2 linked regions of the Danio rerio genome follow. The protein of the gene in region 2 binds, or shares a complex with, the protein of the main gene of each other region. Links are inferred from orthologs where the notes say so. Each region holds a gene or a part of one and is shown on either strand. Other genes may lie near its edges.

Evidence for each region.
Region 1: ecsit (region 2) and tmem186 share a complex: the UniProt entries of both Homo sapiens proteins name them as parts of the mitochondrial complex. The link is inferred for Danio rerio from reciprocal best matches to the Homo sapiens genes ECSIT and TMEM186.

What each region holds. Positions count from the first base shown.
Region 1 is NC_133197.1:27,568,167-27,571,276, reverse strand, and holds tmem186 (transmembrane protein 186), read right to left. Parts: upstream 1,788-3,110; 5' UTR 1,765-1,787; coding exon 1,756-1,764; intron 1,667-1,755; exon of another isoform or gene 1,591-1,666; intron 1,485-1,590; coding exon 807-1,484; 3' UTR 602-806; downstream 1-601. UniProt on the Homo sapiens protein: As part of the MCIA complex, required for efficient assembly of the mitochondrial complex I.
Region 2 is NC_133182.1:17,776,888-17,780,550, reverse strand, and holds part of ecsit (evolutionarily conserved signaling intermediate in Toll pathway, mitochondrial), read left to right. Parts: intron 1-168; coding exon 169-289; exon of another isoform or gene 290-2,989; intron 2,990-3,050; exon of another isoform or gene 3,051-3,457; coding exon 3,458-3,663.

The DNA.
Region 1 (3,110 bases), on a different chromosome or scaffold from region 2:
CTTACCAATTGCTGCATTCAAATCTGACAACACAAAAATCAAGAAAGAGATTGAGTCTTTGGTCTTTTGAGTTAGTTATGGAGTTACAATCAATCAAATAACACAGAAGTACTGGGATAACAGTTTATAGTTTAGAATAAACCACTGATGTTTATGGTAAAAATTAAAATTAACGTCATATACATTTAACTTGACGCTCAAAAATAAAGGTTGTAAGCAGTAATTACATTATTTAACCAATAGGTTGAATTCAACCAGCCATCAAAAATATGCCACTGAATAATAATAAAAAATGATCCATCTAGCAATGAAACATGAAGTTTTATGAGTAAATAACAAGCATTTATTGAAAACGAGACTAAAAATAAATATGGGTTGTACAAATTATAATGTTAGATTTCTACATTTAGTGTCATCAGCAACAGTAGCAGAAATTGTGAATCTTTCCACAGTACTGAATATTTTACCATTTATTTATATTTAGCTAATTATTTCTTCATTTTTTTTTTTTATAAATATAAGGGTTCTTACTTTTGTTTTTTTGAAACCAAATGTTTCTTGCAGTGCAGTTTTTGTAATAAAATGGAAAAGAAATGACATTTGTCTCCTCCCCTTTTTGGCTAGTCCGATCTGTGACTAAAAAAAACATTATATGATCCAAACCGTAAGATTTGTGATCTGTTACATCACTAATTATTAATAAAATGCACAAAACAAAAGCTACATATACTTAACTTTACCATAAGATCTTTAATTTCTCACTTTGGGAAAGTTTCATATGACATGACATACAAAACTACACAAATTCATGACAAACTCCCAAAAACCTTCCCAAATGCGTGTCTATCCACCACTCGTCCCAGTCTGGTAGAAAAGTACATGGTATTAGAAGTGCTGTAGCGCTTTAACCGAAGAATTGATTCTCCCCTGGAGTCTCCTGAATCTCCCAGAGTCACAACATCTGAGACGGGTACATAAATGTCTCTTCTGTGACCCCAAAAGCTAAGATGTGACACCTTTAATATGGTCTGTGTTGAATCCAAATACATCATGCCAACCACTCTTCTGACAAAGTGGCTTATGGAGTACAGCATGACTCCAGCAAACAAGGCAATGCCTATTGAGCGATTTAAGACCAACACTGATGCCTGGCCCTGCAGGTGGAGGTAATACACAGTGGGCAGCAGGACAACAGTGATGCCCGTCTGTAAGAGTTTGAGTCTTGAAAGAGCCCGCAGGCCCCTGATTAGTGGAAATGCATAGATTAGACTGTATTTTCTTGAGGCAAGGTCAGAGGAGAATGAGGCCGGGTGAATCCGCGTGGTGTGTGTGGATGTGTTGGGCATCTGTTTACCCATGTGTGCCAGGCCGTTGTTGATGTTGTATTGCATGCGAGCACTTGAAATAAGTCCTGAAGGATGGCATCGAAAGCCATATTGAGGGAAATGACGGGAAAGGTGGATTAATCTTGTTGACATCATCATCTGAGGAGACAGTAAGCATCACAACAGTAGTTATTATTAATGTTAATTATTAAAACAACACAAAATATTTTGATAATGTAACCATCATGACTATTGACTATTTGACCTTGTTTATTATGTTGATAAAAACAGTGCTTGACAAAGGCAGTTGTTGTGTTGGCTCAGATTATGCGTTCCAGCTTCTTATATGCGATAATCATAGAAAATACATAAGCATAATTAAATAACGCGCATTATTATTAAATATTATTTCAGTTTTGAATGAACTCACCATGTCCATACAAGTTCAGTGCATCGCGCACTTCTTCTGTGAAGCTGGACATGAGTTATATTATGTATCGTTTCAAAATAAAAGTCCTTAAATCAACGCTTGTCAAAATCGTTTTTGAAACAAGTTGTTAAAAATATTTTAGAGACATGGAATCTACGTGCACTTTTTGTGAATTAGAGAAGGAATCGATAAAACACCTGTTTGTTGAATGCACATATACCCAAATATTTTGGTTTGATGTTGAACATTTTATATTTAAACTTACTAAATTAAAAATTCAGTTTTCTTGTAAAAATATTTTTTGATATTCAATAATAACAACTAAACCTTGGAGCAAAATTTGTTTATTAATTTAATGATAATATATGGGAAGTACCATGTACACAAACAAAACTGATCCAATGATAAGCCTAATATTTATTTGTTTAAAACTTATCTTATGCATATTGAAACCCTACAAGACATAACAAATAAAAAAGCTATAAGAATGTGTGCAATTCTGAAATAATTTTTCTTATGCAATTTTTTGTAATTTATATATCCCTTATATATTTATATATACATATATCCCGTAATTTTATTTATTTTTTATTATTATTATTTACTGATTTGTTCCTTTGATGTGAAAAAGTAAGCATTTTATTTCTCATTTTGCATGACATTTTCCTTGTTATTAATTATTCGGTGTCATTAATATTTAATTAAAGTGAAAATAAAAACAATTAATAAGCATTTATATATTATTATTCGACACGTTATTTCTAATTTTGGCAAAAATTTTAGCATTAAAAAACAATTGATTGTTTCAGTACCATAAAAGTGTCGTGGGTAACATCAAGGGTGCGAATTACAGGGGGGTTGGAGGGTGGGGGGATTGACCCCTCATTAACACTTCTTTGTCCCCCCTGAAGGACATTAAAACAAGATGAATAGGGGGGGTCAGCTCTTTAATAGCTCTTTAATTAAATATTGAAAATAAAAAATTTATAACATAATAAATATACCCTTATAATGGTTCATACCATGTGTGAAAATATAATCGCCCCAATCAATACTAAGAAAAAATATCATTCAACAACAGTCTGAAACTGGCACCGATAGACATCTCAAGTTTTCACAAAACACTTCTTGTAAAATAGTTGTATTTTGACCTTCAGCAACTTCTAAAAAATCACTAAATATCAATACACTGAAAGCGTATACATTTTAATAATAAATGAGGTGTAATTTTAGTACATTAATACATTTGATTCACTGAAGAATGTATTACCAAACTACTATCAAAAAAGTTGACCCATTCGTTCGTCAATGTATAATTCGCACGCTGGTAACATCAATGTTTAAAGTAATTTGTT
Region 2 (3,663 bases):
TATATGCAGTAAAAACTATTTTCAACGCAACATGATTGTATTTAAATCCTTAATAATAATTTGGAATGACTAGTAATTAATAAATACTGCAATGTTTAATAATAATATCAATTGATTCTTTAAAAATCTCCATTCCAGATTATGTTTTAGCATCTGATTTTTCATCAGGTTGAAGAAGAAATTGACCCTGAGATGATCTGCCCAGAGCAGAGTCTGTTCTTCCCTCAGCGAGTAGAGCTTGATCTGAATGTAGACATGGGTGACGATCACAGTTTCAATGTAGATGAAGGTGAGACTCATACTGCTTTATTAACTTAAACTTTACACGACAATGATGTAGCCAAAAATGCAAACGTTTTACCCTTGCGTTTTGAAAAAGTTCCACTTCATGTCACAATCTTTACATAGCAGCAAAAATGCTGTATTATGTACGCCAGGCCTGTAGTTTGTGCTATCACCTTGTTGGTAAACCGTACCTGTAGGGAACTTACAATGCACAGGCACTTGTGTGTTATTTGCTGTGTGTGTAAGATGGGTCTCCACTTTTGGTTGTAATGTGTAGTAAATCCGCACTGAAGTGATAGGATAGCAGATGAAGTGGTAGGATACACTAGAGAAGCAACAATACTACCATGTACTCTTTATCTATCATGTAATTTTTTTTTTTTTTTATATATTTTCCAAATGATGTTTAACAAAGCAAGGAAATTTTCATAGTATGTCTGATAATATTTTTTCTTATTTGTTTTATTTCGGCTAGGATAAAAGCAGTTTTAAATTTTTTTAAAACCATTTTAAGGGCACAATTATTAGCCCCTTTAAGCTATATATTTTTTCGATAGTATACAGAACAAACCATCGTTATGCAATAACTTGCCTAATTACCCTAACCTGCCTAGTTAACCTAATTAACCTAGTTAAGCCTTTAAATGTCACTTCAAGCCAGGGGTCACCAAACTTGTTCCTGGAAGGCCGGTGTGTTGAGGCCAGTTGGAGCTAAACCCTGCAGGGACACCGGCCCTCCTGGATCGAGATTGATGACCTCTGCTTTAAACTGTATAGAAGTGTCCTAAAAATATCTAGTCAAATATTATTTACTTTCATCATGGCAAAGATAAAATAGATCAGTTATCAGAAATGAGTTATAAAAGCTATTATGTTTAGAAATGTGTTGAAGAAATCTCTCCGTTAAACAGAAATTGGGGAAAAAAATAAACAGGGGGCAACCAATTTAAGGGGTCTAATAATTCAGGGAGGCTAATAATTAGCATTTCAACTGCACCAGGGGCCCTCAACCTTTTTACCACTGCAGACCGGTCAACGCTTGACAAATTTACCACGGACCGGAAGGGTGGGTGGTGGGTGTAGCGGTGTTTCATAGGTTGTAGGTTGCTAGGCGACCATCAACCATTTTCTCAGAGGATTGACAAGCTGAAAAAACATTGCTGCCACTCTGATACAAGTTTTATTTATGGAAAACGATTACAAAGCACTGCAGTGTTTGAGTGTTCTGTTTTTGACTGAGATAATTAGTCTACCGAAATGTGTATATTCCATACAAGCTGAAGCCAATCGGTCAATTCTTGTCACGTGACTCGAGGTGTGCTCGAAGAATTCATTCGATTGTGTGTCTGGAAGGCGCAAGTGCGTCATGCTGCTTGTGCGTGCAAACTGCACACCTCCATTGGAAACAACGAACTTGTGTGAACTCTAGATAAGATGCGATATGCGAACGGCTGCTAACAGGCCACCGTCAATTGCGATCTGCAGTAGTTGATCTTGCACAGACATAGTGGATTCACCTGATTTGTTGGTAAATGGGTTGTGGATCTATTTCTTGGCAGTTTGCAGGTCCTTCACTGGGCCTTTTTCCTTTAGCAAAAAAACTTTCCAAAAACGTCTGTTTCTTACTCATTTTGCTGCTTGTGGGTTAAATTTGGGCCGAGAAGTAAGCGAAAGAATACGGTCATTTTTCAAAATAAAAGATCGATCAGACTAAGATAATAAATAAATTGAAAATACTGAATGCTTTCTTGTGCGACCCGGTACCAATTGATCCATGGACCAGTACCGGTGGTTGAGGACCATTGCTATATACTATATATATCATTCTATATATACTAAGACTTTTGTTTTCTGGTGTTTACAGAATCACAACAAAGATAGCTTTTTTAAACGCTTCTGTGTTGAAACCTGTTTTTCTGTGCTTTCAGTCCCTAAAAAAATGTTGTCATGTAAACAAATACACAAAACATATTGACCTTATTCTTGATTCAATTGGCTGCACCTGCTCATACGCGCAGAATAAGGTCAGAAGATATTTCCCATCTTTGATTTGTTGCCATGTAAATGGCCTCTTTCCTATTACGCTAATATATTTGTACATGCTTTATATTAAAATGGTATTCTATTGATTTATGAACCTGTTTAATATGTGTATCTACAAAATCTATAAAAAATGTAATTATCTAATAATATGGAACAATTCTGACCCGATTTATTAATTCCAAGAAGCACTGTTTTACAGACCTATTATACTGACTGACACATATGCAGCTTCTTCCCCAACTGTTTACATTCACAGACACAACCAACATTGTGTTAAAACTACATAACCTTTTGTGTATGTAAAAAAAATAATAAAATACTCTATGCAACAAGTCATCTGAAGGCCAAATTCTGTGTGCATACTTTGTATCTATGTGCTTAGTAACAGAGTTAAATCAGCAAGGCTTTAAAGTACTTATGAAATCAAACTAACCATATTGATTTAGTTAGCTCAGATTGCTAATTTGGTGGTGAACAATTCATCTGTGCATGTCATTAATCTAAAATTAAAATCTGTAAATGCACGTCCTTTTTGTTTTCAAATAAATTCTCAGATTATGTCTGTTTGGGGTATTGGTTGGAGGGGCGTGGTTGGGGCGTTAACCCACGCCCCTTCAACTGTTAACAGCACCATGACAACAAACAGAAATAGTGAGGAGAGGTGTCTGTTAGGTTGTAATAACTCTCCCGAAACCTTTTTCCAGATCTTTCTGAATAAAAAGCCTATTTTACTATATCCAATCAGCTTGCAGTAGAAAAAACAAGCCACGCCTGCTGTTTTCTAATTTAATATTCAGTTTCTTTAGGAACTGGCACGATACAAACCAAAAGAAAATGGTTGCAGCTTTTGGTTTATGTGGACTTTAAAACCCGCACAGATGTTTTGTTTGTTGTTGTCAGAGTAACTGAGGCACAAGCTGTGAAGGCCCTCTTCTGGAAAGGGGGCGGGGAGAAGCAGCTCATTTGCATATAAAGTAATACACACAAAAACATGGCATTCACAGCATGGAATAATAAATCATCCGTGAAACCTGAGGAGTCTTAATAAATCTCTTAATATGATTATTAATGGAATTGTTTGCATATCACCTAATTTTAAGCAATGATTTCTGCTGATTTGTTTCTGCAGTGGAAGAGGGGGCAGTTTATGCTATGTGTATGGCCGGCCAGGGTGACCAAGCCACTCTGTCTCAGTGGATTTCTGGTCTTCAGGAGACCTGTCCCATATTGGGCCAGATTCCTACAGTGTTTCGACTGGAGTCTGGACCTAGAGAACTGCAAACCTCAACAGATGATCATCAAAGACCCGAGCAGGAGTCTGAAACGGATCAAATT